Cricetulus griseus: one gene and its partners. The protein of the gene in region 6 binds, or shares a complex with, the protein of the main gene of each other region. Links are inferred from orthologs where the notes say so. Each region holds a gene or a part of one and is shown on either strand. Other genes may lie near its edges.

Region 1 (3,500 bases), on a different chromosome or scaffold from region 6:
ATACTCCAAACTAAGGTTTAGACAGTGCCTGTTTTGTAGTTCTTGAAGCACTAACCAACTGTGCAACAGCTGTTATAAAACTGTTTATTGTTTACCAAAACCACTGGACCTCTTATCAAATGCCGCTTGGTAACAAAATCTTATCACAGTTTAATAAAAAAGAAAGAAAAGAAAGCAAGCTAACTATTTGTCTCGGAGTCATTAGTTAGGCTTTCAGCAAGGTCACTTAATCCAGACTTGTTTAGTGCGCTGATCAGGTTATCTGTTGTTGCATGAGCTCCTTCTTGATCTTGCCAGGCAACAAGGAGCTGCTTGGCCCTCATCTTCACGTCTTCACTGTCACACTCAATCTGCCTAATTTCAGAGTCTTTAATTTCTAAGTACGGAGCCAAAATCTTCCATTGCTCACCAAGTTTGTTGGCAAATAACTCTATCTGTTCCCCTGTTACAGGTTTATCTCGCCGAACATCAGGGCCTAGAAGACAAGAGGATATAAATTATCTGAAAGACCTGCAAAGCTTAAAGAACAACAACAAAAAACTGGGTTACTAGTCACATTAAGCTTTACTTTAAAACTTAATTCTACATAGGTTACATACCTTCTTAGGAAAAAAAAAAATCACAATTCAGGCAATTATTTTTTATTTTTTGGTTTTTCGAGACAGGGTTTTTCTCTGTGTAGCTTTGGAGCCTATCCTGGCACTCGCTCTGAAGACCAGGCTGGCCTGGAACTCACAGAGATCCGCCTGCCTCTGCCTTCCGAGTACTGGGATTAAAGGCGTGCACCACCAACGCCCAGCTCAAAGCTATATTAATTAGGAAGATTTTCCCATAGAGATGTTCCTTCTAGCCCCAATTAAATTAGCAGAGTTCAAGGCTCTGCCTTAAAACACCCATCTTTTTTATCTTTAAAATTATTTCCAAATTTCCCTATATAAAATGTATTTTAAGTGACTAATGGCTTTAATCTCACTGTAAACTGAGATAAAATGGTAGAAGTTGAGAAGTAGACCAAATTATACAATGTACCTCTCAACAAAGAACCCTAATCTTTTTCAGTTTTGTGAAATAGCCAAAAAATTCAATTTCAATTCAAAAATTCAATTCTTACTTTCATTTTCCTTCAGTAAAGCATCATTATCTTCCTCATCTTCATCTTCACCTGTTTTTATTTCTTCAGAAGGAGGCTATAGTAAATGAGAAACAATGGTGTTTAAAAAAACACTAGTTTCTGAAGATAACAGGAAATAGTTTAGATAGGTAATTAATGGACCTCAGACCCTCTCAACCTGTAGGTCCTGTCATTTTGGGCAGAAGGAAGACAGAGAAGCATGAACAAGCAGGTTGGTAAACACCTAGGCTTTAGTCAGTATTGTCTAAGGGGCAATAGAGATTAACCATGTCTATGGTTACCGTACTATAAGAAAACACTGCCAGGTACCCTACTGCTACTCCTAGACCCTGCTCTTGACAAAATATAGTAAAATACATTTGGTAAGAGCAAAAACTGATCCAATTTACTGCAGGCAGTAGCTTTTTCCAACATGTTGATAAATTGGGTGTTGCACAGAAAATTATACCACTCTTGGTTCACATTTTCTCCCTAAGTGAATGTTCAACAACAACCTCTGCCTCAAGTTGTGTGTGTCCTCCCCCGCCCCCACTACTACTGTTGTGTGATACACTAAAATTTGAGTTCTGCTCAAATACTGATAGCAGTTTTAAAGCAGATAATGTCTACTAAAGGAAATGGGAAAAATGAAGTATGTCACTTACTGGTAGTTCCTTGGCTAGCTTTATTACCATGTTCTCCAGGTACTCTGGCAGACTCTTAAATTGCTGGTTGGTTGGCTGGAAGAAGTGAGGGCTTCTTCGTGCTAAGAGCCTGAGAGCTCTCCACCCATAATTTGAATTGTTCACAGCTCTGTAAGAGGAGTTGTTAGCCTTGGATTTATAATTATCCACTTCCATAGTTGTTTCCATGTCACATGACATTTTGTACCATCCTTTAGTTTGAAAGTTTATATATTTTGCTTATTTTAGCAAGTCAGTGGTCTATGTCTCAACCCCTGGCTACATAGAAACTATTCATCCAGTTATACAGAAGAAAAGGAAAGATAGGAAAAATGATATTTGGTGAGTTGGTTGGTATCTGTATCTGCATTGCTACCTACAGATATGTGAGTTTAGAGTATTTCATAAATTCGAGTTTATCATGTTAATGTAACTAATACAAGTTGGAGATCTCTAACCTAAAACCTTAAGTGTTTAACTTTTCTTAAAATGCTTACCTGCTAGGGTCTAAAATGTTCCAAATATGGGGGGGAAAATCTGAAAACACAGCCGCAAGTATTTTCAATAAGGGACCTGTATTTAGAGTTGTGTTTATGTAACAGCTAATCTTTAGTTCACTTAATTTCAATGTCAATGATTAAAAATGGCTCAAAATGTCAAAAGAGCAAATATCCAGTACCCACAGTAGTGACACACTGATGTCAAGAAAAGAATCAGAAGGTGAGGAAAAAGAACCTATGAGAAATCCTAAGGACTCCCGCCCCCAATAAACGGATTCTATCTTGGGCTTTGTTATGTTCTTTGTATTTAGCACAGATCTGCAATCTGGTTTATTTGGTGGCCTCTTATTAACTCTGATATACACTCTTCATTTTAAGCACGAGATGAGACTTGTGCGTATTTTACTAATAGGATCTTACTCTATAAGCCACACTAACCTCAAACTTAATCCTCCTGCTTTAGCCTCCAGAGTGCTGGGATTATAAGTATGTGCTCCCATGTCCACTCTTTCTGTGTGTGTGCTACTACCTTGCCTGCCCTTTGTGTCTGTCTGTCTGTATGTATGTATTTATTATTAGGCAAGGTCTTACCATGTAGACTTGTGGCCTCAAACTCAGAATCCACGTGCCTCTGTGTCTGAGTGCTGGGATGAAAGGTGTGTATAACCATGCCCAACATAATTTCTTGTATACTTTAGACTTTTATTATGTATATGGGTGTTTTGCCTGCATGATTATCTGTGTATGCCAAAGGCGGCCAGAAGATGTCATTTCAGACTCTGGAAAGAACAGCCAGCACCCTTAATCTCTGATACATTTTTCTTCCCTGTATATATTCAAAAGATCACTCTCTGGTGCATGGAGAATAGAACACACTGGTTAAGAGGTTGGAGCATGTAAAAACGTATCATGGGGTCAAAACTAGTCATTTATATCATGTGTCAGCAACATGCTGTATATGGATCAAAACGAACCATTTAATCTTCAGAATAACTCTGTGAAATGAGTGGCTATTATTTAGCAAATGAGAAAAGGCACAAGGATGGGAACTTACACATTCTGACGAGAGCCCCTGCCTTTAAATCACAACTCCAAAACACCTACCTAAAAATACTGTCACATGAAACTCTTTAGATAAAAGATGGTGAGTCTTAAAAGTTACCCCAGAAATCTAGGGTGGAGGGGACAGCAAAGCAAAAGGCAAAC
Region 2 (3,996 bases), on a different chromosome or scaffold from region 6:
TAAAGGGGCAATGTCCTGACTGGTGCAAACACAAGCCTTGATTTGCACGACTTTGCTGTGTTGGTGCAAACATCCTTTGCAGGCTGTAAAGTAGAAGTTTGACTCAGTTGGGGGGCTCAACGGGGATAAACCTCACTATGTTACTCTCCTCAGTGCTACTACGTTAGGTTCAATAAAAGGCCTCTCCCGAGGGGTGTTTCCTGGCCTTTTAGGAACAACAGGAAGAAAGAGGTGGCCTAGAGCCTGCCGTCTGGCTTACTACAAGAGTTCCTGGGAACTTCAAAGCCATAGGCCCCTGGAGCTAAAGCATTTCCTACTTTACCAGGGGCCGAGGAATCCCCACCTACTCCTAGGCGGTGGGAGGGGGGCGGCTGTCAGATGCTGAGGGTTGCGGACGAGGGTGCCAACTTAACAGCTGAGTAAAGTGTGCTAACAGGGGAAGCTCGCGCTTATAGTCGGCAGGACATCGCTCCTCGTGTATGCAGCATCTCAAAGAAGGGAGAACCACGTGTTTAGAGGGGGAAGAAGGCCCAGGCTGAACAATGGAGCCGCTGTGGTGGGACTAAGAGCACTCTGCCCTAATTAATAACCATGGAGCCGCGCGTTGGTGGCGCACGCGTTAATCCCCGCACTAGGGAGGCAGAGGCAGGCGGATCTCTGTGAGTTCGAGGCCAGCCTGGTCTCCAGAGCGAGCGCCAGGACAGGCTCCAAAGCCGCACGGAGAAACCCTGTCTCGAGAAAACCGATGATAACGACAACAACTATGGAAAGCTGCGAAGCCCTCAAACGCACCGTTTATTTTGTTAACGCGCGGGCAGAATGCAAACCTCCATCTCCTAAGTGGCCGCCTTGCCGCCGCCATTTGGGGCAGCTCCGCTCGTTCCCAGCGCAGCCGCGAAGGGCGTGCCCGCCCCCCCACCTCCCCCGGCCCCGGGAGCCTGACTGAGCTCGGCACCCTCAGGTCACCTTGGGTGCCAGGCTAAGGGCGCCGTGAGGACGCGTCCCGCTCGGCACGCAGACTCCGCGGTGCCCGAGGGCAGCCTGCGGGGAAAGGACGAAGGACGCCGCGGTGAGGGGGCGGGGAGGTGCGAGCCCGCGTCGCGCTCCGGTCACCGGCGGCGGCGGCGGCGGAGTCGGAAGACCTTTTCCGAAGGCACCCCCGAGCGGGCGCGGCCGGAGCCTCCAGGACCGCCGGCTTCCGGCTGCCGACTTCCGGTTTCCGGCATCGCGCGCCTGCGCCCTGGCGGCCGGGAAGGCGGCAGGCCGGGGGGGAAAAGCGCCCGGGACCGGAAGTGAAGGCAGGTTCCCGCCTGCGTCCCCGCCGCCGCCGCCATACGCGCTCGCAGTGCTTAGGTAAGCTGGGGCCTTGCGCGCCATCCGCCGCCATCCGCTCCGGCCCCGCCGCGCCCGCGCGCGCGCCCCTGATACCCGTCGCCCGGGCGGCGGCCTGGCCGCTGCGGCTCGGTCGGGCGCGCGGTGCCGTCGTTTTCGTCCCTTTCTGAGCGAACCTCGGTGGGGAGCGGGGAGACGGGGGCGACGATCCAAAATGGAGGCCCGGGCCGCCATTGTGTCCCCCGCTTCCTGGGTGGCCCGTGGGTCCCCTTCCCGCGCGGGCCGCAGCGGCCGGAGGCGGCGCTGGCGGGAGGGCGGGCCCGGCGCGGCCCGCGGCGGGGACGAGCAGCCGCCAGGGCCTCTGCTTGCCCGCTGCGGCGTCGGCGCTCCCGGAATGCTCACCTTCGGGGAGGAGCGAGGCTGGGGCGCGCCAGACGCTGTCAAGGCCGCTTGGCACCAAGTCCCAGCCTGAGGGTTGCATTTCCCCAGCTGAGAGCCTGCGGCTTTGAAAGCCCACCCTTGTGGCGAGCGCCTCGCGCGTGGCCGGGCAGGCATTAAAATGTAACTGTCTGCGCTGCCGGCTTCTGGCGTTGTTTGCCTGCTTTTTGGCCTTGAGCCCCTGGCGCCCCTGCTCCCGCGGTTAGGTGCAGCGGGCCCGCCTCCCCGCCCTCCGTCCTTCAGCTCCTGCTCCCCCAGGACTGGGGTCCCAGGTGAGCGCCTCCAGCGCGGCACGCAGGTGCCGCTGGACAGGGGAGTAAGTAGCAGCCACGTGATGTTTGCAATGGGAAGTGAGCGCTCCGCGCAGTGCTGACCTTCATCTATCACCCTTGACTGATGGCTGCTGGGGGGACCAACACCGTGGGGCCACAGGGAGAGCGCAGTCTGAGGTCCCCTCCTGTCCCACGCATTGTCACCCTCCCGCGGGTGGCTTCGGGCTCATCTTTTCACGGTCTCGGGAGTTGCTCCTCTTGGGTCAAAGTGCGAGCCCAAGTCTGTCCAGCAGTCACACCCGAGACCACTCTCCATTTTTTCTCGCCCGGTGTTCGTTTTCTCTTACTTTTCTTCCAGGGCAGAGGTTTGTAGTTGAGGGAGAACACGAAGAAAGTGAGGGTGGGCGAGAAGTCCCTACGTGACTGATGAGCTCTTCTTTTTTTTTTTTTTTTTGTTCTCTCTCCCAGCTCTTCTGTCGGGAAACTGGTGTCTCTTCCCTTGCTGTTCCTCAGCCCCCTCTCTCCCCCTTGCTTTCTCACCTTCTCTGGGACCACTCACCCAAAGACCTCCCTTCTCCCCTGCCGGCCCAATTATGGCAGAGAATGATGTGGACAATGAGCTCTTGGACTATGAAGACGACGAGGTGGAGACAGCAGCAGGTGGAGATGGGACGGAAGCTCCTGCCAAGAAAGACGTGAAGGGCTCCTACGTCTCCATCCACAGCTCCGGCTTTCGAGACTTCCTGCTCAAGCCAGAGTTGCTCCGGGCCATCGTGGACTGTGGCTTTGAGCATCCATCAGAGGGTACATTTTATTGTTGGGCATAGGGACCTCATGATGCATCTTAAAGATGGGATTTGTGTTTAGGGTATATAGGCCAGGCAATGAGAATGTACCCAGATGTTAGCGCTAGAAGATGCTTGTTAGCTTTGATCACACAGGATGCTGTTTGTCCTGTGCCCAGGTTTTCTTGTTTGCTTGATCGTCTTTCTGACTGTTTGGCTGGAGTTTTACATCCAGTATTTTGGGCCAGGCCACCTGGGGTCTTAATGATTGCTCTAAAGTTGCTGGCTTCTGGGGCAAGTACCAAGTCCTTCATTTTGTCCAAGGTTATAGAATGCCAGGCACATGGAAGGTAAGCTGTTGGTAGGTGCAAGAGGGTTTGCGCCAGGGAAACCTGAAGCTAGGATGCAGTTGAGACTTGATTTGGGTGTAAATGTGACTAAGGGGACAGAGAGGATGGGTCAGTCTGAAAAGTGACAGGGACCAGGCAAAATCTGGAGAATCAACTCGAGGAAAGGGGTTTGGTATGGTGCATAAAGTCTCTCTCTTTCTCCCCTTTTTCCTTCTAGTCCAGCATGAATGCATCCCACAGGCCATTCTGGGGATGGATGTCCTGTGCCAGGCCAAGTCAGGCATGGGGAAGACAGCAGTGTTTGTCCTGGCCACACTGCAGCAGCTGGAGCCAATCACTGGGCAGGTGTGTTTGAGGCAGTGCTGCAGAGGGCTTTGAGGCCGATACACTGAAGGCTGTTTGTGGCTACATAATGCTTACAGCAGCAAGGCTTACTGTTTTAAACCTCAGATTTGATGTCACAAATAACTTGACAGATGCTGCTGTTGACAGTCACTCTGGAGAGAGGGTGACAAAGGACTGATAGGGTGTTGTCTCCATTTGTTCCCTTGAAGGTGTCTGTGCTGGTGATGTGTCACACTAGGGAGTTGGCTTTTCAGATCAGCAAGGAATACGAGCGCTTCTCAAAGTACATGCCGAATGTCAAGGTAAGGGTGAGGCGCTTGGGACAGCGGAGGTCCTGGGAGCTTGTGGGGTAACAGTTGACTGTCCTGAGGCATGGAGCCGCTGTAATTGATGAGTTCCTGAAGGCTGCATAGGAGCCTTTAGTACAGTGACAGGCTCTTCTGATCCACAAAGTCAGTTCAGGGGCCCTGGGCT
Region 3 (4,035 bases), on a different chromosome or scaffold from region 6:
GTAGGTTTTATTATCCCTCATTTTGCAGATGGAAGTATAGTGACCAAGTTTAGCCAGGGAACTTATCTGAGGTCACATGGTCAGTATGGAGCATATTGAGGGTTCAAACCAACACAGAGATTTCAAAAAGTTGCTAGTTATTAATTCAGCAATCCAAATAAATAAATAAATAAATAAATAAATAAATAAATAAAAAACATGCAAACCAAAGATGTGAGAAATAATCTAGCCGTGTAGAAATAGTGCTTAGCTGGGTGTGATGGAGCACACCTTCAAACCCAGCTTGGGAGTTTCAGGATGGCCAAGGCTATACAGAGAAACCCTGTTTTGAGAAACAAAAACAAAAAACCAAATAGAAAACAAAGAAAAAGAAGTATTTGTTTCTCCACTCTTTACTTTTCATTACTATTACCAGAGAGCGCAGAAACAATGTAAAGGGCTCACTGGTAGTGAAGGACAGGGTCCTACCTCTTTTCTGATCATGACATCATTTTTGTAATTGCTGTTGTTGGCATATCGAAGTTTTCCTGTGGGGCAAATAAATAAATAAATAAATAAATAAATAAATAAATAAATGCAATTTACAACAAAACATCAACTCAGTAGCCTACTAACAATACCAACTTTGCCTAAATTATATCCAATTCTCTCTCTTGGCTGTCCTGGAACTCGATCTGTAGACCAGAATGGTCTCAAACTTACAGAGATCCACCTGCCTCTGCCTCCTGAGTATTGGGACTAAAAGTGTGGGCAACCACCGCTGTAGCCGGCATTATATTCAATGTTCAACCCAATTCACAGCTATTATATTAGTCTTTACAGTGCTCCACTTTAAATTATGAAACAGCTGAAGACTAACCTGACACTGAAATAGAGTTCAGGCAAAAGTTACTTTGATTTGGCAAAAGAACACAGGCAGGCTCTTTTACGACTCTGGCAAATAGCTTTTCAGCAGGTCAATGATCTCAGCTGTAAACAGAAATGATAATTGCTAAGTTCCCTGCACAGAGAACATGCTGAAAGTATTTTGAAAACGGTAGGAAGCGACATACACATGCCCATGTGGTCTTGTGGTATGATCTATTTCTGCATACTTTTAAATTGAGCACATTTGGTTCATAAGTCCTTCTGTGCATGAGTACAACCACCAGGCTAGTTTGGGTATATAGTGTCATGTGGCAGAAAAAAACAGGGAACTTTGGGGAGAAGCATCTAATTTAGTCTGACTGTCTGAGCAGGTTTCATGCATAAAGTGACTTAGGTGGGTGGAATATAGGAAGAATGTGAAGTGTAGGTGTGGGCTAAGGGACCAAGAATAGAGAAGATGGTGTTTTGGACCAAATTCACATCAAAGACACTGGAAACTAAAAAGTGCTTGGGATGTTGCAGGCAGAAACAAAGTAGTGTGGGCAGAGTATTGTAGGGTTGAAAAGGCAGACAGGAACTCAGCTTGGCTGTATGCCATGGTAAGGGGTTTGAATTTTGTCAGGAAGGCAGAGGGAAGTTATTGACAGTATCAGAGAACTACAGTCATCTAATTACACAGGCCTCTTGCTACATGTTCTTGTCCATCTTATAGAGAACTAACTGAAAAAGGGAAAGATTTGAGTAGAATTGTCCTTGCCTCCTCACCACACCACAACCGTCCCAAAATATTATCAATCAGATACATTCAGATCGTCTCCAACAGTATCCTAAGTCTTCTCCACGTCTATAGTCCTAGCTGTCCTAGTCCCGACCGCCATCTCATGTCTATTCTGTGTCCAAGCGCTAGGATGCTTTCTGAAGATCATCACACCTTTTCTCTTATAAGCTTCAAGCTGTTTCCTGCTGCTCCTATTTATGGTCTACAAACACCTAACATCATCTCCTACTGGTTTCCCTAGAATTCTGTCCTTCAGTCACCTCAACGGCCATCTGAAACATGCCTGGTTCTTTGCTGTCCTATGACCTCTACATTTGCCACTCCGATAGAAGACTTTTCTTCCTGAGCTTCACAAACTGACTGGTCCCTTCTCGATTCCGGCTCAATTCAAATACCCACTGTTCAGAGTGCTCTCGAAAAAGAGACCCTATTTTCGGATCACTCCTCACTACAGGAGATCACTGTTTATGGTTTCTCCCAGTACCTAAACACATGTTCCACGAGAGGGGAAATTTATCTTCGTGGCTCTGTCCCCAGAGTGGAACACGGCCCGGTGTAAGATGGACATTCAATCAATCTTTGTTGAAACGTTAACAACCTGGCTTTTTAAAGCCACTAAGAAGCCGGGCGTTGGTGGTGCATGCCTTTAATCCCAGCACTCGGGAGGCAGAGGCAGGCGGATCTCTGTGAGTTCGAGGCCAGCCTGGTCTCCAGAGCGAGTAGGCTGCCAGGACAGGCTCCAAAGCTACACAGAGAAACCCTGTCTCGAAAAACCAAAAGAACCCAAAAGTTACTAAGGAGAAGCTCCAGCGTATGGACAGAAAGGACCAGTGAGGCCGAAAGAAAAGACTACGCCTTTCACAACCCAAGAGCTCCGGTCTCAGTCCCTTCCTTCACAAAAGCCGCGGCCCGGCCTCTCCGCCCTCCCCCAGGTCCCGTTTCCCTTCCTTGTAGGCGGGAGGCCGCTCTTACCGTCAGGTCGGAATTCAAACTCCAGGAACTCATGACCGAACTTGCCTTTGTGACCCACGTAGTAACGTAGGTAAAAGTCACTCTCCATGGCTCACACGGGACAATCAAGACCGAACTTTACGAACAGATCACACTACCACGATCTGCGCCCTCTACTGACGTAACGGCGGCGCGCGGAAGTGACGCCACAACCGCGCCGTTAATAACAGTTTTTTCACCCTTGGGAGGCGGGAACGAGACTACCCCGCCCCCGCGTCCTGCGGCGAGATCCGGATCACCGCTCCTCCTTTCCGGAAATCGAGTGCTTTGCGAGGTCCTGCGCTTCCGTTACGTCCTGGGCTTCCACGGGGCAGCTTTACCTATAGGCTTAGGGCCAACCCTGCGATCTGTAGTCCAGTCAGGCTCAACCGCAATGTAAAGACACACGAAAGAGGCCATTCACACTCTGAACCCAGGTGGTCTCCACAGTAAAATGGGCAAAAAATGGCTCCCCCATCTTTGAGCACGCTGCCCCCTTCCCCACCCCCAGGGTCTGAATCAGGAGTTGCGTTTGAGGGGCAGTGTAGTAGCGAATAGCTGTGGCCTAGCACTCAAAAGCTTAACGCCGCCCAGGAGTCACGAGTTGAGGCTAGAGGCTGCATACTGTAAGACCCTGTCTCGAAAAAGTTCGCTTTACTTTTTTTTTTTTTTTTTTTTGAGACAGGGTTTCTCTGTGGCTTTGGAGGCTGTCCTGGAACTAGCTCTTGTAGACCAGGCTGGTCTCGAACTCACAGAGATCCGCCTGCCTCTGCCTCCTGAGTGCTGGGATTAAAGGCGTGCGCCACCACCAACGCCCGGCTCGCTTTACTTTTGTGTGTTTGTTTTGGGTTTTCCAGACAGAGTTACTCTGTTTAACAGCTCTGGCTGTCTCTTTTAAGAAAACTTTTCCCCGAGCAGTGTTAGTGCACACCTTTAATCCTTAAGGCAGGTGGATGTCTGTGAGTTAGAAGCCAGCATGGTCTACAGAGCGAGTTCCAGGACAGACCCCAAAGCTACAGAGAAGCCTTGTCTCGAAAAACAAACAACACCCCCCGCCCCCCCCCCCCGTTTTCAATGACTCCTTCCCCAATCCACAACGTTGCCTGGAACTTGTCTGCACTGCCAACATCCCCTTCTGCCGTTTGCTTATTTTACAATTTATAGGCAAGGTGCAGACTGACGGGGCACTTGTGACCCTCCTACCTCAACTTCCAAGAGTGTCACCTCTTAGGCACAAGTTGCCTCTCATCTCTCCTGTCTCCCAGGCTCACTGCTGTCTAGGATAGGTGCTGTGGGAGGATGTTAAAGTGGACATTGGATTCCCACTCCCAGATACCTTACCCACAGTGATTCTAAGCCACACACACACACACACACACACACACACACACACACACACA
Region 4 (3,934 bases), on a different chromosome or scaffold from region 6:
AATATGCAATCATATGAAATATTTGAAAAAGAAATGTAAGGAGGGAAAATTAGCAAATAGATTTGTACCCAAAAGACTTCATTGATTTCACTGACACTTTTTTGTATAAAATCTTCACAGTTTCCAAAAATGCCTGCTTGCCTCTGCGTCCCCAGTGCTGGGGTTACAAGCCTTCGACACCACAGCTGGCTTCATACAGACATTTTCACACAAGTATACATTATATGTTGAACATATTCCTTCAGGGCCCCCTATCCCGAGCTCAGAGCTCTTGTACAGCGCCTTAGCTCATCCTGGAGCTCACCATTGATGTTTTTCCAGCTGAATATCTTTTGTCTAAGAGAGATGTAAGAAGTGGGAGGCGCTGAGATGTGAATGTAGCATACACAAGTGGTCACTTTACTTTTCACTCTTCTTAAAAATTTACTATCTTCAAAGCCACAGAGAAACCCTGCCTCCAAAAACCAAAAAAAAAAAAGAAAAGAAAAAGAAAAAAATTGCTATCATACATATGCAATATATTCTAAAAACTAGGATCAAAAGACAAAACAAAACCCCCAAACCAACCAAGCAACCTTGCCCAACCCAAACCAACAAATCCACACTCTCATTAACCAACTCCTTATTTCCACAAACAGCTAACCTTTCTCCTTTGCTGTGGCCTTCTGCTTTAAGGGAGGGAAGAGGGCCTTGTAGTGAAAAAACAGCTCTATTGAAAAGGGTATTTTTGTCCTGGCAGTGGTGGTGCACGCCTTTAATGTCCCCACTGGGGAAGCAGGAGCAGGAGAATCCGAGTTCGAGGCCAGCCTGGTCTACAGAGTGAGTTCCCGGGCAGCCAGGACTACACAGAGAAACCCTGTCTCGAGGGGAAAAAAAAAGATATTCTACTGGTAAGTAAACTGGAGGCTTTATCTTGGTTCTCTTCTTCGAATAAGCGAGACTATCAAGAAACGGGTTAGAAGACCATTAAAAAAGTCGAACTCTTCCAAAATGCTACTTCCAAACGTTAGAGGCGGACACGCGTTGCATGGCGGGATTTGCAGTCCCTTGGGGGGAGGGGCGCCAGTGAGACACGCGCGCCTGCGCAGAGTGACGCGGCGGCGTTCCTGGTGCATGCGCGCTGCTCCCGGCGCATGCGCGCCGCAGCGGCGCCGGGCCCGGTGTCTGTAGCCGCCGGTACGCGGTCCTTACTGAGAGAGAGAGCGAGGGAGCGAGACGGAGGCATGGCGGCGCCCACGTCGATCCTGGGGCCCCCGCCGGTCAGCCAGAGCGGCCCCGGCTCGATGGCGCCCTGGTGCTCTATGAGCAGCGGCCCGTCTCGCTACGTGCTCGGGATGCAGGAGCTGTTCCGAGGCCACAGCAAGACGCGCGAGTTCCCGGCGCACAGTGCCAAGGTGCACTCGGTGGCCTGGAGCTGCGACGGCCGTCGCTTGGCCTCGGGGTCCTTCGACAAGACGGCCAGCGTGTTCCTGCTGGAGAAGGACCGGCTGGTGAGCTTGTAGGGCCCGGCCCGGCCGGGAAGAGGCGGACGTGGTGTGGGCACCGTCGTTGGTGGTGCGGTGAGCGGGCGAGGCCGCCCGGAGGAGCGCGGAGCGGGAACCTGGTGGCAGTTAGGCGGTGGCGAAGGGGCTGCGGGACGGAGAGGTGCAGTCAGGTGGCCTGCAGTGGTCAGGGTCTAGAGCAGCCCTGGGCGGGGAGTGCTGGCATCCCCACGGGGTCGAGAGGTTTTATTTGGAAACGATAGCGCCTCCTTTGGGAATGGACCGTTGGATTGGGATGATGATGGTGGTGGAAGAGGGGAGGGCAGGAAGGGCAAGAGAAGAGCCAGTGTCCAAGCTCAGAACAATTCACAGGGGCTGAAGTTCTGGAAAGGACTGGATTCTTTTGGATCGTCCACATCTTTGCCGGTTTCAGGGTACCACCGTTTGGATAAAAGTTAAGTTGCGTGTGGAGGCAGGTGCATCTGTGTGAAGTGACACCTGGATTCTGCTCTTTTAAGGTCAAAGAAAACAACTACCGGGGCCACGGAGATAGTGTGGATCAGCTCTGCTGGCACCCAAGCAACCCTGACCTCTTTGTCACCGCATCTGGAGATAAAACCATTCGCATCTGGGACGTGAGGACTACAAAGTGCATCGCCACTGTGAATACTAAAGGTAACTTCAGAGAGAGAGGAGCCTTAGGTAGAAAAGCTAATTATAGTTTCCAGAAACTGTTGACCGTGTTCTTTGCAGCTAGTGCCACAGAGTGGGTTATCAGGATGATGTATACATGTCCGTCTGGAGGAGACAAGGAAGAGTAGAATTTGAGCACGTTTTTTGATCATCTGTAGTAGTTACTGGTCAGAGCGGTGGAAACAATACAAAGAGGAGTAGTGTGTGTGAAGGCATAGAGGATTTAGGAGATTCTGGCAGGTTAGAATGGCTGAAACCTGGATGATCTTGGTTTCCAAGAAATGATTGGAAAGTTGTACATCACATTCAAACGCTGTTTTCTTGTTATATAATACCCTGTAAATCTTGAGTCTAGCATAATTGACTCTAAGAGGTCATCTACAATCTTTTAAGAAACATTTTTGTTGTTTTTAGATTTTTAATTTTTTTCAAATAATTTATTTACTTTTATTTGCATTGGTATTTTGCCAGCATATATGTCTGTGTGAGAGTGTCAGATCTTGGAGTTACAGACAGTATGAGCTGCCATGTGGGTGCTGGGAATTGAACCCAAGTCTTCTGGAAGATCAGTCAGTGCTCTTAACCGATGAGCCATCTCCCCAGCCCCAGATTTTTTTCTTTTTCTTTTTTTTTTTAATTCTTTTTATTTTTTATTTTAGATTTTTTTTTTTATTTTCAAGTATGTGTGCCTCATGTATGCAGGTGCCAGAAGAAAGCATCTTATCCCCTATAAATGTAGTTACAAATGGTTGTGAACTGTGGGTGCTGGTGATTTAACTTGGGTCTCCTGGAAAACAACAAGTGCTCTTAAGTGCCGAACCATCTCTTCAGCCCCACAACAAAAATGTTTTTGTTTATTTATTTATTTTTAAACAAAGCATTTTTGCTTTGTTTTTTTTTGAGACAGGGTTTCTCTGTGTAGACCTGGGTGTTCTAGAGCTCTCTCTGTAGACCAGGCTATCCACTCAGAGATCCAACTCTCTCTGCCTTTGCCTCCTGAGTGCTGGAGTGAAAGGTGTGTGCCACCACCACCCTGCTCCGAAACAAATTCTGATAGATTTTTAAATGCACTATAGATAGTAAAGTGTGAAAGAAAAATGGCATTTTTGATTCCATGAAGTTGTGTGCAGTGTGGACGACTCCTGGACTTAGATGACAAGACTGGTTTCTGGGAGTGGTGTGACGTGGTACTTTTGGACAAATGTTAGCTGCCAGCAGCAGCTTTCTTCCATTGTCTTGGTGATTTGAGCACTGAAGAGAGCTCTGATCTTCTTTCTAGGGTAGCAGAATAAGCTTCTGGAGGAGGATGGGCAAGGATGATCTTGCTGATGGCTTGTGTCTGGGTTCCCAGGGGAGAACATTAATATCTGCTGGAGTCCCGATGGGCAGACCATTGCTGTGGGCAACAAGGATGATGTTGTCACCTTTATCGATGCCAAGACACACCGTTCCAAAGCGGAAGAGCAGTTCAAGTTTGAGGTCAATGAAATCTCCTGGAATAACGACAATAACATGTTCTTCCTGACCAATGGCAACGGTTGTATCAACATTCTCAGGTGAGGGGCTTCTGGCTAGAGGGACTGTTGTACCTCTGTACTGGGTGCTATGTCAGGTACATAGATGAGTTAAGTGTGAGCCTAACCTAGAAGACTTGAAAGAAAAAGTATTTAAAAATCCTAGTTTTTTTTAGGGGCACATTTGAGCCAGATATTCTGCATTTTATTGAGTTCTTACTGATATTGATTGTAAATGTTCACTTA
Region 5 (4,084 bases), on a different chromosome or scaffold from region 6:
ATTATCCTTCCTCTTACTTCAAGGAAATGAACAGGTTCAAAGTCCAAGTTATGAAAGCCTTTAGCCAATACTCTTTCAAAGAGTCAGGGACTGCAGCTTCAGTATTTAGAAGAGGTCAGTTATGCCTGAAAATCTTCATTCAAGATTAATTTCTGTCTCTGTGACAAAAGTCCGTAATGTACTTGACATATAATCCTGCCAAGCAGCAAAAACCACTTCACTAACATACATTGAATGGTTCCAAGTTTTCTGCTAAAGAACTGAGGGAATTCTGGGCAGATGCATAGACCCCACTTCAGAAAAGTAGTCTGAACCACCAAACTGACCCCCCACACAATTGCTTTATGCAGGATCTGAGGATGCAAGGGACTTGGGAATCACGAAAACTGGAAAACAACAAAAACCTGGGTTCCAAAGTCGAGCACGCTTCTGGGTGTAAAGCTGTCCTGCTGGATGTCAAATCAACCTTACCAGGGGTTGTCTCTCACCACTTACATGGTTCCATTCAGGAGACACTCATCATAGTGATTTTTCTGGAAAGATGACAATATAATCTGCAGAGTGCTCCAGCAATATGTACTCTACACCCCAAGCAACGTTTTTCAATGAGCAGCGCCACCTCCCCCAACACCTTCTACTTTCAACTTCCCTTTAAGAAGCATTTTTTTTTTTTTTTTTTTTTGAAAAGCAGAGATAATACGAAAACGAAGGCACCCCATCTGGATTCTGGCACCGAGGGAGAACTGGGTGAGGGGCAAGGACGGCAGGGACTAAGCTCCTGGTTCTGAGCAAAGTACTCCCAAAGGTCGCCAAGTTTCTATCCCCCACTTTGCCAGCACCTGCCAGAGCTCAGGAAGGGAGGATGGCTTTCCGCGTCCGCCTCAAGGACCCGGGTTCGAGACCCGCCGGGGCGCGCGTGGGCGCCAACTTGGCGACAGTCGCCGCGGCCCCATGCCAACGAGCTAGTGGAACCCGGCGGCCGGGGGGCGGCGGTCACCCGGAGCGGCAGGCGCGGAGCCCCCCGAGCGCGCGCAGCCCGGAGCTCACCTGGCGGCTGGCCGCGGCCTCCAGGGCGGCCTGTGGCGCGGGCCGGGCGGGGACGACGGGGTGCGCGGGCCGAGCCGCCGCCGGCCGCCCGCCTCGCCCTTCACCCGCCGGCCGCTCCGCGCCCCGGGAGAGCAGCGAGCGCGGGCTGCGCGGGTCGCGCGGCGGCGGCGGCGGCGGCGCGGCGCAACTCAGGAGTCGGAGAGGCGGCCGCGGGCGCCGCCGCCTCCTCCTCCATGACTGTTTACCCGGCTGCATTGTGGGAGTTTGACCTCCGTCGCCAACCGCCGCCTCAGCTCGCGCGCCGCCGCCGCCGCCGCCGCCGCCGCCGCCGCCGCCGCGCGCGCACGCCATGGGAGCCGTGACTGACGGTGAGGCCGCCGCGGGGTGCGGGGACGCGGGGCAGCGCCGAGATCCGGGCCGTCCGGGGTGGGGGCTCCCGGGGCGGCCGGGAGCGACGGAGGGCCGGGCGCCGAGCCCGGGGAGCCCGAGTGATGCAGTGCGCCGAGGGGGCCGCCTGGGGGGCTTCCCAGGCCGGGCTGGGTCGGGCCCACAGGCCGTGCGGCGGGCCCCCGGGGGCCCTGGAGTTCGAAGTGAGGTGGATTGCGGGCACCGAGCTGGGGACAGCCTCCAAAAGGAATAGGGGTGTCCGGAAGGCCGGTCGGGAAGTGTATCTGGGCGACTTACAAGGTAAAGCGCCCCGTGGGATGAAGCCGGCGGCTTAGACCGCGACCACTGAAGGAGGGCATGTTGGGGAGGGTGGTTTGTAGGCCTGGATGAATTGAGGGTGATGGATTGTGGACAGCTGTGGTCTGTGGACTGAGAGCAGAAATAAGGGGGCATTTCAGGGAGGTATGGACAGATGCGGCGGGAAGCTGGAACAAGAACTTAACATCGGTACCTGCTTTTGGTAGAAAGGTTTCTGTGGCTTGGAGCTATTCTTGAGAGGGTGACCAGTAGCTATGGGTACCAGTGGACTGACATCCAGAGAATGGGAAGAACAACTCAAGACCCAAATTTGAGGACTGTTGGAGGAAAAGTCTAGGTAGGGATAAATAGAGGAATTTTAATCTTATTTTATTCCAGTTTCGTTTATTCAGTAGGTATTTTCCGTACTTCCAGGCAATGCTTTACTTATATTTTGCAACCCAGAACAGGCAAAGAAGTTTGCTCTTGTATGTTTGCAGTTTGGATTGACTGTAAACGTTAAATAATTGGGGTAGGGTAGGGGTGAAGGTATGGTGTGTGTGTGTGTGTGTGTGTGTGTGTGTGTGTGTGTGTGTGTGTCTGTGTGTGTGTGTGTGTGTGTGTGTCTGTGTCTGTGTCTGTGTGTGTGTGTCTGCCTGCTGCCCTCCCTGCCTCACCTGTTCCCCAGGCAGGCCACCCTTCCCATGTGGCAGTTAGGGGACAATTTGCTGAAGTCACTTCTTTCCTTGTGGGTCCTGGGGATTGAACTGAGGTTGTTGTTGATCTGTCTCTACTGGTGATTAGAAAACTTGAAAAGACTTCCTTCTCACCCCCATTCCTTTGAAGGATGAATGGATATATTAGGACTGGAATTACAAATGACCAGTCATTTATACAAGTCCCAAAATGCTGAAAGAAATTAAATATGTCATGTAGTAATTAGCTAGAACTTAGAAAAAGTTAAGCACCATGAATTTTTAAGGTCAGGGGAAGCCACTGGAAATTTTGTTTGTTTGATTTTTAATTTGGTTTAGTTTGGGATTTGGATTCTTTTGAAATGAGGTCTTCCTAAATGTATCCTAGGCTGCCCTGTAACTTACTATGTAGATCAGGCTGTCCTGGAACTCACAGAGATCCCCACCAGCTTCTGATTCTGCCTCCTAAGTGCTGGGACCAAAGGTACTCCATGTCATATCAAGACAAGTTTTAAACATTAGTGCAATGTTTAGTGCAACATTAGTGATCAGATCTGCTTATATTTAATTACTTGAAGTGTTTTTTTTTTTTTTTTTTCAATGCTGAGGACAGAACCCATGCTCCTATTCATAAGAAAAGTGTTACATCCTCATCCTGATCTACGTGATTTAAAGTGCACATACCCATTCTACTGTGTGGAGAATATTAAGGAAATTGGAAGGGAGGTGCTGAAATCACTTTCCCCTTCAATAACATAGTACTTGTAGCATGTGTGGTGCAATGTTCTAATTATCCCCATTTTATACATAAAACTGATAACCTAAGAAACTTGTCCAGAGTTGTAGTGGTAGTAAGTTCCAGAACCTGGGCTTAAAAACCAAGCCACATCCTGTGTGTGTGTTTTGTCTGCACGTGTGCTTGTGTACCACATGTGTCTGGTGCCTGTGGAGTCCAGAAGAGTGCTGGGAATTGAACCCATACCTCTGTAAGAACAGCCAGTGCTGTTAACTGCTGAGGCATCTCTCTGACTGGCTAATATGCACTGAGCTCAACTCCTGCTGCAGTAGTGCTAGTGAAAGGTAATTGGGCCAGCACTCCAACTAAGGGGATTCAGTAAGTGAACTGGTCAGATGTGCTGGGATGTCAAAAGATGATCTTATGTTTCTTATTTGTGTGGATCTGTGCCTTGCTCCAGAGGAGTGATGAATTTTTCAGGTGAGAGAAGGGAAGGAATGGTGAGTTACAAACTTACCAACTGCAGCCCCCTAATCCTTAGAAGCCATAGGAATCCCCAGTTGACAACTACCAGCTTCTGACCTTGTGGAGGTTACCTAGCTTCTTTGAGGCTCAGTTTTGCTCTCTGTTAATTAAGCTACTAATAAAATCTACCCTGGAGTGCTGTTTTGGAAGTAAAGGACATTGTACTGAATCACACACATGCTAATGTTCAGTGAATCTTTCTAAATACAGAGTACCCTTCCCTGTCTTGTTATGAGGGAAGGAAATTGAACTGAAGTAAGAACTAAGTAATCAACAAATGTGAGATGCTAGCTAGGTACAGAAGGAAATTAGAGGGAGAGGGTGCTGGAAGGGGAGCATACATGCCTCTGTGTTAGTTGGATTAAACTAAGACCCTTTTGTATGCTATGCAAGCACT
Region 6 (4,231 bases):
CGAGTTGAATGTTCATGGGACGGCCTATGGTAAAGAATACAACAAGTCTCACTCCAGAGGCTCTGAAGCTGACCCAGAAGGCACCACACCCTGGTCTCCATGCAAGCTCTAGAAAGGGCCTTTGTGTGTCTCCAATGCCCCCAACAAGGTACAAGGCCTAGAGAGCCTGGTGGGAAAATAAAGTGGCAATAACACCCCACCAACACCTCCTCACTCCTTCTCAGTTCAGGCTAAGAGGGCTGTTTGGTCAGGTGTCCAGGGTGCTCATGGGTGGACAGGTGTGGGTAGCCTGACGGAAGAAGAACAGGTACCTTTGTCTTTACGACTACAGCCCCGCACTCAGGTTGTACTATGGCGGTTCTGAGAAGGCTTCACAGAAGTGAATCTTCCGGAAGGAGCTGAAGGAGGGGAGGGATGTAGCTTGCTGGATGGGGGTTCACAAGAGGTTGGTCCAGATGTGTGGGGCAGCATGAGAGGTGGCAGAATGGAAGAGAGAGACAAAGGGGCAAATGCAAAGTGTCCTCAGCCACAGGGGCAGCCCATATTCCTACAGGGAGAGGTGCCAGCCCCAAACTCCGTAAGCCCCAGGCATCCTGGGCCCAGCCCCATATACTCACCATCTAAAGGGACACCATTGTACTGTTTCATAGCCTTCAGGGCATCTGCCTTCCGTTCAAAGTGCACATCTGCTGTCCCTAAACTTCGGCCAGAGCGATCGTAGTGCACGGCTGCTTTCTTCAACGTTCCAAACTCTGCGAAGAGTTCCTGGAAGTGGACAGGGCAACTGTTAGCCAAGCAGTTAAGCTGTTTTCCCTCTAGAGGCTCAGTTCAGTAGCTGTGAGGGTTCCTGGGTGCTACTTTACTGACCACCACCCAGAAAAGGGGCGGGGCAGAGGCAATCAAGAGGTGAGGGAAGGGTGTCACTTTGAGCACCTGGGTTCCTGTCCACGTTGGGACGTGTGTGACTGTACCATGATGCAGGTGAAGGAAGCACACAGAAACTACCTCTCTCTCAGCAAGGGCACTCACAACCTGACTAATGGCTGTTTCATCAGATAGCAAAGGCCAAGAGAAAAACCAAGGGAAGCTGTTCATAGAGCAGACAGCTCAAAGGGCCCACTGATTTGGGGAGCTGTGACCCAAGCCCCTCCCCCAAAGGCAGATTCTGGCTCACCTTTCCCTCTCCTCCTACTCAAGCCTGCTGCAAAGTCTGAAGTCAAATGCGCCATGGAGACTGCCCTGACCTCAGGCAGGCTGGGAGTTGGAGAGGGAACCCAGAGTGTGGGGCTACTTCGGCCGCAGGCACACAGCGGGAAGTGAAGTTCACCAAAAGCGGTTTCCAGTGGATGCCAGAAACCACCTTAAAAAAAGTGTGGAGACACTGTGAGTGCTCACTGGCCTTGCTCTATGCTCCCTGACAAGGCCAAATGGCGGGGCTCTGAGAAAGGGAACCCAGAAAGGCCCAGCACCCATGACCCAAAACTAACTCCTAAAAACCTGCTCTGTTAACTCTAATTGCATTTGAGGGCCAGAAGAAAGACAGAGAGAGGGAGAGAGGATAGAGATGGGGGGGGGGGGAGAGAGAGACAGACAGACAGACAGACAGACAGACAGAAAAAAAGACTTCAACCAAAGGTATGAGAACAATGCCCCTGGTAAGACCCAGGAAAGGTCAGTCTGGAAGACACACAGCCACCATTCACCCCTGTGCCTTCAGACATGTGGGGGTGGGGAGAGTTTTCCTTCTCATAAGCTTACTACTACAGGCACAAAGCCTGAGAAGCTAGCACCCTCGGTCACACAGGGACCGGACTTGTGGCCAGTCTGTGCCCGTTAGAAACTGTAAGCCTTGCAGACGGCAGGTGCTCGTGACGTTAGCAGACAAGAGCCACTCTGGGGGCACACCAGGCTGCCTTCCAAGCAGCCTGACCTATCAGTCACATTCAAACCCCAGGGGATACTACTTTTTGTGAGGGCAGCGGCTGGCCCTTGGGCAGCCTGGGGGAGCACAGGCTCTGATCAGAAGGGATTCTGTGTGTGGGGATAAGCATGCGGACGGCTCTGGTCTCTTACCTGAATATCTGCGTCTGACACTCCAAAGTCAAGGTTTGACACCAACAGTTTTCCGCCGGTCTCCACGCCGGCTCCACCCCCGAAGCCGCTGTCGAACAGATCGTGCTGCCATTTGTCTGGAAGTTGTTTCGGCTGAAGGGAAAGAGAGGTTCGTGAGCGACCTCGTCTCGGGCGCCCCGATCCCTCCCCGGCACTCACACTCTCTCTCTCACGGCGGCCCGAGAGCCCGGAGGAGACGACCCCCACGCCCGCCGCTCCGCCGCCACGAGGCGGGACCGGACCGGACAAAGCGTCCCGGAAGATCCCGGCCTGTGACCGGGGCCTCGCTCACCGCGCGGCGTCGCCCCCGCCCACCCTCCGTTCCGTTCCGTTCCCGCGGTTCCCGCAGGACGCCCGCCCGCCCGCCTCAGGGCGCCGGGAGCCCGCCCCGCCGGCGCCGCGCCTCCCGTGCTCACCCTGCTGTAAGGAGCCGGCCGGTTCCTGCCGCCGGCGGCGGCGCCGCGAGAGATGGCGGGCCGGTTCCTCAGAGGCCCGCCGCCTCGGTTCACCCGCGCGGCCGCCTGCACCGCCCCGCCGCGGCCGCCCTGGGCGCCGGCCCTGCCACGGCCCCTGCCTCCGCCGCGGCCGCCTCGCTGGCTCCGGTTCAGCTTGATAATATCGTCCAAAGACATGTCCATTTTGTCGGCCATGGCGGGCGCGGAATCGGGCCTCAGATCGAGCCCGCGCGTCAGCACGTCGCTAGGTCACTTCCGGAGCTTCCCCTGGTCTTCCGGCGTCGCGGCCCCCGAAGCTGCCCCTGATTGGCCTCGGCGCGCGCGGAGAGCGGAGGGCGCCTGCGCTGCGCTCAGGAGGACGGCCCGCGCGAGTGTGTGGCGCCCGGCGCGGCGCGGTCGTTTTTATACCTCCCGCGCTCCTGCAACGGAAGGGCGGGGCGCCGCGAGATTAGGTGGAGTGGGCGAGGCGTGGGCGGGGCCTGGCCTGGGATCCGCCCTGCGCAGGCCGGAAGGCGCCGGATCGAGTTCGGTCCGTCCGCCCGCCGAGTCCCTGAGCTGCGAGGCGGGGGGCCGATCTGTGGATCCGATTTGGGGTTTGTGGGCTCGAAGGGATGGTTTTTTAAAATTTAATTTTATTTAAATTTAGCAAGCTGATGGCTTGTCACGCGCGGGTTGTGAGTGAAAACCGAGGTGTTTTTCATGGATGCAGTGGTTTTTGTTTTTGTTTTCCTCCTTTGGTTTTGGGCGGATCTGCCTCCGCGGCGCTGAGGTTAAAGGCGTGAGCCAGCCTGGCCCGCTACCTGGGTGCACAGCTCTAAAAACGACCTTCAACATAGCAAAACAACTTGGGAGCCTGGCTCCCTGGAGGCGCCTAGCACGCAGCTCCCCGCCTTAAATGCTCAAGTGCCGTCTGTGGTAGTAATACAGAGTAACTTTAGCCAGGAAACCCTCTTCCCTCAGGTCGCACGCTCTGCTGCCATGAAGGTGAAGATTAAGTGCTGGAATGGTGTGGCCACGTGGCTCTGGGTAGCCAACGATGAGAACTGTGGCATCTGCAGGATGGCGTTTAATGGCTGCTGTCCAGACTGTAAGTGCCCCCCCTCCCCCGTGCTCTCAGAACTTCGGCCAGCTCCACCAGCCTTGAAAACCTTGGGTTTCCCAGCACTAGGGAGGCAGAGGCAGGAGGATCTCCGAGATTCCAGGACAGCTAGGGCTACGCTGAGAAACCCTGTCTCGAAAAACTAAGAAAACCAGAAAATAAAACCGTGGGTTTTACTTTCCATTTCCTGAAGGAAAGTTGACAGAAAATAAACGAATTCTTCAAACTCACTTTTGTATAAAGACCCTATCCAGCATGGTGGCAAACATCTGTAATACCAGCATTTGGGAGCAGAAACAGGTAGCCTCTGAGTTGGAGGCTACATAATGAGAGTCTGTCTGTAAAAACAAAGAAAAGCAAATAAACAAAAACAACACTTTTGTTTTTGCCAAGGCATGGTGGCACAGACAGAGGCAAGAGGAGGCTTGAGTTTGAAGCTTGCCTGGGATACATTGTGATGATTGGTCATTCTCTTAATTCCTCAAAATGCTACTTCCAGTTTGAATTTTCTCCAAGCAAAGCAGAACAAATGAGGATACCCCTGCCCAGCACACTGAAGTTCAGA
Region 7 (4,276 bases), about 90 Mb from region 6:
GTAATTGTTGCCAGCTGCCAGAAACTTCCCGCAGGGCGAGACACTCTGGGAAAAGATGGTCATGTGCAGGCGCTGCAGGGCCTGCGCTACCTCAGCCTGTGGGAAGAGGGTGGATGAGGAGATTCTGGGAGGTCTGGGTCCTCCTCCTGCAGACTCCTGTTTGTCTACCCTGCCCAGACTTCAGCCCTGCTCAGCCACAGCCACAGGCATCTCCCCATACAAGAGTGGCTCCAGGAAGAGAGTGAGAAAAGGAGAACAGGGGCACAGTACCTAACACTTAGAACAAGCACCAAGCCTCTCCTGTCAGCTTAGTAGACAGATGGCACTCCCAGGAAACGCTGGTCATAATTAGGTAACTAATGAACAGTAAGAGCTTTGTAGCCAGGTTTAGTAGGTGCACAACTGTAATTCCAGCACTTAACAGTTGGAAGCAGGAAGATCAGAGGAAATTCAAGATTATCCTCAGCTACATAGTGAATTCAAGGGTAGCCTGGGCTACACGAGACAGTCTCAAATACGCACACATACACACATCTGAGGATGTAACTGAACTGATAGTGTTTGATTAGCATGCACCAGTCCCCAGCACTGCACACTGCATTAAACAAGCACACACTTGTGGCCTGTGATTTCAGCACTCAGGAGTTGCAGGCAGGAGGACATTCCCCCACTCCAAGGCAAACTCCAGACCAGCTTGAAATATGTTGACTCTGTCTCAAAAAACTAAGTGAATAAAAATAATAAATCTATTTTTAAAATAGGGGGGTGTGCCTGGAAAGATGGCTCAGCAGGTAAGTGTGCACTACTCTTGCAGAGAATCCTACAGACCCACATGCCAGATCACAACCATCTGTAACTCCAGTTCCAGGAGAGCTGACGTCACTTCCCCCAGTCCCTCCAGACAGGTTCTCACAAGAAGCCCTCTTTGTACCAGAACTCTCTATGTAGATCAGGCTGGCATCATAGAGATCTGCCTACCTCTGCCTTGCAAGTGCTGACGTTAAAGGCACTGAGTCATTAGGTCTTGTTTTGTTTTTTTCAATTTGTGTGTGTGTGTGCTGTGTATACCAGTGCCCATGAAGACTAAAAGAGCTTGTTGGGTCTCCTGAAACTGGATTACAGGCATCTGTAAACCCACTCCTATATGGATGCTGGAAACTGAACTTGGTACCTCCAGAAGAGTAGCAAGCACTTTTAACCACTGGGTCATCTCTCCAGCCCCCTGTGATGCCTCTTCTGGCCTCCGAGGATATGATAAACATACATAGCACACATACAACTGCTAGGAAAACATTTATAGACATAAAACAATGAATAAATCTTACAAGAAAATAAATGAGCCTATCGTGGAGGCACACCTTTAATCCCAACACTTGAGGAAGAGGCAGGCAGATCTCTATGAGGTCCAGGCCAGCCTGCTGTACTTCCTGAAAACTTGTTTAAAAAAAAAAAAAAGGTAACTACTCAATGGGTAGACCATGTTCTTTTGTTTGTTTGTTTTTTGTTTTTGTGGGGGGACAAGGTTTCTCTGTGTAATCCCTGGCTATCCACAAACTATCTCCGTAGACCAAGCTGGCCTCAAACTCATAGAGATCCACCTGCCTCTGCCTTCCGAGTGCTGGGATTAAAGGCATGTTCCACCACCAACAAGCCTATGCTCTCTTTTTTTTTTTTTTTTTTTTTTTAAAGATTCTATTTTTAGCCGGCCAGCGGTGTCGCAAGCCTTTGGTCCCAGCACTCGGGAGGCAGAGGCAAGGCAGATCTCTGTGAGTTCAAGACCAGCCTGGTCTATAAGAGCTAGTTCCAGGACAACCTCCAAAGCCACAGAGAAACCCTGTCTGGAAAAAAAAAATAAAGATTCTATTTTTATTGCTTTTAATTATGTGTATATGTGTGTGAGGGGAGTGTGTGCAAGTGAGTGCAGGTGTCCACACAGGCAAAAGGATGCAGATCCCCTGGAGCTGGAGTTACAGGCAATTACAAGATTTGAAATTTGAGTGCTGGGAACCAAACTTGGGTCCTCTTCCATCTTTCCAACCGCTAAAACCTATTCTAACCCAAAGTTCTGTGTTTGCGCACCAGCACTGTATATATTGGGCATTATGGCACACCCAATAGCCCATAACATTCAGAGGGAGGCAGAAGTTCAAGGTCATTCTCCATTATATAACAAAGTTCAAAGAAAGCTGGAGATATATGACACTGTCTCACAAACAACAAGCAGTTCTTGGGCTGGGGTATAATTAAATGACAGAGCATGTTCTTACTGCGTCTAAGGCCCAGGGTTTTAAAAAAGGCTCATGTACAATGATTAAACTTTTTTTTTTTTAAGTTGGGGTCTCACTATGTATCCCTGGATGACCTGGAATTCACTATGCAGCAGGCTAGTTTCTAACTCACAGAGATATGTCTGCCTCTGCCTTCCCAGTGCTGGCATTACAGGTGTGTGGAACTACGTCCAACGGCTAGTTTTTTTTAAAGTGGCTTTATTATCCTTCACAGTAAAATGTACTGACATTTAGTCCCTATGTCACTATTAGATCCCAAGGACCGGGGATCACTATTCTGGGGGGGTCAGAGTCAGAGTCCGAGTATTTCTTGGCCACCAGGTCATGGCAAGACTACAAACCCCAGAAGGCACTGTGCGCACACTCGACTCACCTGACCCAGAGGCACCGGCGACGGTGCGACGTGATCCATCTTCAGAACTACAAGTCCCAGAGGGCTCTAGGCGCGACACAACCTCTCGACTCCCTACGTGCGTGAGAGTGGTTCTTCTCGTTGCGCCCCAGGACCTGGCACTGTCGGCCGTTCAACAACTAAGGCGGCAGGTCGGTGCTGTCTCGAACCACTGAAACCTAGGGGAACTCTGCGAAGCACCCTTACGCTAAGTAGCGTCCAGGACTGCCCAGCTACACCGAATCCCCTCCCCCACCCCGCCGACCTGTCCCGCCTTCTAACCTCGCGGTGCTCGCCTTCCGCGCCTGCGTCGAACGTCTCCAGTGAGCACGCCGGTAGCCCCGCCCCTCGCGTTGTACCACGCCCTCAAAGGCTCCGCCTCTGCCGCCTGGATCCCACCCCTCTATCTGCAGGACCCCGGACCGTAATGATCCTACAACAGCCCCTGGAGCGAGGCCCTCCAAATCGTGATCCACGGGCCACCACTGGGGTGACTCGCGGCCTGGACGCTAGGTGCGTAAGCGGCCCCTGCGTGGGCCGGACTAACGGAGGGCAAGAGCTTTGGCTGGGGGCCCAGGGCCGGTCAGTAGGGTGATCCTGGGAAGAGAGGCAAGGTGGTACAGGAAACCGTGGTGTTTGAGCTTGTGTTGGAACTGGGAAGCCACGGTCAGGATTTCCGAGGTAGCCTGGTGGATGATGGCCTGAGAGAGTAAAGTGGCTTAGGCCACACAGACAAGACTGATTCTGGAATCCTGGCTTATTCTGCAAGCTCAGGTAAAGAGAGAGGGTGGGCTACACCTGGCTCTATTTCCCAGCTCCCCTCTCCTAGGAGCTGTGCCCATGAGCACGGAAACCCCTGGAGGAGCATTAAGTTTGGGGGCAGATGGGTCTCCTTAGATGTCACCTTTGGTCCTCATCAGTTTGCCTCCACCCTCTGTTCCTCTCTGGTCTTTCCCCCAGGGAACCCTTGCACAAGCAGTTTCTGTCTGAGGAGAACATGGCCACCCACTTCTCCCGACTCAGCCTACATAATGACCACCCCTACTGCAGTCCCCCTGTGACTTTTCCCCAAGCCCTGCCACCACTCAGGTAGGCACCTCCCCTCGCAGGGCCTTCTAGAGAATCACATTCGGTCCTCAGAGCCCCTCCTCATGATCTGCCTCATCATGCTATTTTTAGCTTCTAGCCAACTTCTGTGCTGTTTTCCATCTTTGGCTCCAGGGGATCTGGACCTGGTAGGAGGTGGCTCTGCCAGGCCAGCCTCTGCCCCATACTTTCACTGTCTCTCTTCTTCTTTCAGGAGCCCTTGCCCAGAGCTGCTTCTCTGGCGCTATCCCGGGAGCCTGATCCCTGAGGCCCTCAGACTGCTGAGGCTGGGGGATACTCCCAGTCCCTACTACCCTGCATCCCCAGCTGGGGATATCATGGAGCTCTAAGTGCTGATGGCCAGTGTCCCTCCTCACCTTGTTCCTGACAACAAAGACCAGCAACCCCCAGAAAAGGATGAGGTCCTTCCCCTGTAACAGGACAGATGATAATCAAGCTCAGTGATACCCTGAATGGGAGGGGCAGCAGCTTGGAAAGGGGAAAGTATCAC

What was found.
Region 1: Alyref (region 6) and Thoc1 share a complex: the UniProt entries of both Homo sapiens proteins name them as parts of the transcription/export (TREX) complex. The link is inferred for Cricetulus griseus from reciprocal best matches to the Homo sapiens genes ALYREF and THOC1.
Region 2: Alyref (region 6) and Ddx39b share a complex: the UniProt entries of both Homo sapiens proteins name them as parts of the transcription/export (TREX) complex. The link is inferred for Cricetulus griseus from reciprocal best matches to the Homo sapiens genes ALYREF and DDX39B.
Region 3: Alyref (region 6) and Magoh share a complex: the UniProt entries of both Homo sapiens proteins name them as parts of the ALYREF/THOC4-EJC-RNA complex. The link is inferred for Cricetulus griseus from reciprocal best matches to the Homo sapiens genes ALYREF and MAGOH.
Region 4: Alyref (region 6) and Thoc3 share a complex: the UniProt entries of both Homo sapiens proteins name them as parts of the transcription/export (TREX) complex. The link is inferred for Cricetulus griseus from reciprocal best matches to the Homo sapiens genes ALYREF and THOC3.
Region 5: Alyref (region 6) and Thoc7 share a complex: the UniProt entries of both Homo sapiens proteins name them as parts of the transcription/export (TREX) complex. The link is inferred for Cricetulus griseus from reciprocal best matches to the Homo sapiens genes ALYREF and THOC7.
Region 7: Alyref (region 6) and Thoc6 share a complex: the UniProt entries of both Homo sapiens proteins name them as parts of the transcription/export (TREX) complex. The link is inferred for Cricetulus griseus from reciprocal best matches to the Homo sapiens genes ALYREF and THOC6.

Annotation. Positions count from the first base shown.
Region 1 is NC_048595.1:236,160,915-236,164,414, forward strand, and holds the end of Thoc1 (THO complex subunit 1), read right to left. Parts: intron 1,925-3,500; coding exon 1,777-1,924; intron 1,188-1,776; coding exon 1,112-1,187; intron 476-1,111; coding exon 180-475; 3' UTR 69-179; downstream 1-68. UniProt on the Homo sapiens protein: Component of the THO subcomplex of the TREX complex which is thought to couple mRNA transcription, processing and nuclear export, and which specifically associates with spliced mRNA and not with unspliced pre-mRNA.
Region 2 is NW_023276806.1:231,768,469-231,772,464, forward strand, and holds the start of Ddx39b (spliceosome RNA helicase DDX39B), read left to right. Parts: upstream 1-1,196; 5' UTR 1,197-1,353; intron 1,354-2,019; exon of another isoform or gene 2,020-2,042; intron 2,043-2,096; exon of another isoform or gene 2,097-2,172; intron 2,173-2,510; 5' UTR 2,511-2,635; coding exon 2,636-2,846; intron 2,847-3,394; coding exon 3,395-3,522; intron 3,523-3,731; coding exon 3,732-3,824; intron 3,825-3,996. UniProt on the Homo sapiens protein: Involved in nuclear export of spliced and unspliced mRNA. Component of the TREX complex which is thought to couple mRNA transcription, processing and nuclear export, and specifically associates with spliced mRNA and not with unspliced pre-mRNA.
Region 3 is NC_048595.1:41,959,463-41,963,497, forward strand, and holds the start of Magoh (protein mago nashi homolog), read right to left. Parts: upstream 2,801-4,035; 5' UTR 2,706-2,800; coding exon 2,618-2,705; intron 528-2,617; coding exon 469-527; intron 1-468. UniProt on the Homo sapiens protein: Required for pre-mRNA splicing as component of the spliceosome. Plays a redundant role with MAGOHB as core component of the exon junction complex (EJC) and in the nonsense-mediated decay (NMD) pathway.
Region 4 is NC_048596.1:273,511,545-273,515,478, reverse strand, and holds the start of Thoc3 (THO complex subunit 3), read left to right. Parts: upstream 1-1,134; 5' UTR 1,135-1,223; coding exon 1,224-1,490; intron 1,491-1,999; coding exon 2,000-2,156; intron 2,157-3,525; coding exon 3,526-3,730; intron 3,731-3,934. UniProt on the Homo sapiens protein: Component of the THO subcomplex of the TREX complex which is thought to couple mRNA transcription, processing and nuclear export, and which specifically associates with spliced mRNA and not with unspliced pre-mRNA.
Region 5 is NW_023276807.1:171,880,540-171,884,623, reverse strand, and holds the start of Thoc7 (THO complex subunit 7 homolog), read left to right. Parts: upstream 1-1,284; 5' UTR 1,285-1,396; coding exon 1,397-1,415; intron 1,416-1,565; exon of another isoform or gene 1,566-1,734; intron 1,735-4,084. UniProt on the Homo sapiens protein: Component of the THO subcomplex of the TREX complex which is thought to couple mRNA transcription, processing and nuclear export, and which specifically associates with spliced mRNA and not with unspliced pre-mRNA.
Region 6 is NC_048600.1:133,091,013-133,095,243, forward strand, and holds the start of Alyref (THO complex subunit 4), read right to left. Parts: upstream 2,801-4,231; 5' UTR 2,763-2,800; coding exon 2,529-2,762; intron 2,206-2,528; coding exon 2,074-2,205; intron 766-2,073; coding exon 618-765; intron 25-617; coding exon 1-24. Other genes in the region: Anapc11 (anaphase-promoting complex subunit 11), read left to right, coding at 3,546-3,654. UniProt on the Homo sapiens protein: Functions as an mRNA export adapter; component of the transcription/export (TREX) complex which is thought to couple mRNA transcription, processing and nuclear export, and specifically associates with spliced mRNA and not with unspliced pre-mRNA.
Region 7 is NC_048600.1:43,199,643-43,203,918, forward strand, and holds the start of Thoc6 (THO complex subunit 6 homolog), read right to left. Parts: upstream 2,801-4,276; 5' UTR 2,701-2,800; coding exon 2,662-2,700; intron 97-2,661; coding exon 1-96. Other genes in the region: Hcfc1r1 (host cell factor C1 regulator 1), read left to right, coding at 3,107-3,192, 3,640-3,768, 3,980-4,115. UniProt on the Homo sapiens protein: Component of the THO subcomplex of the TREX complex which is thought to couple mRNA transcription, processing and nuclear export, and which specifically associates with spliced mRNA and not with unspliced pre-mRNA.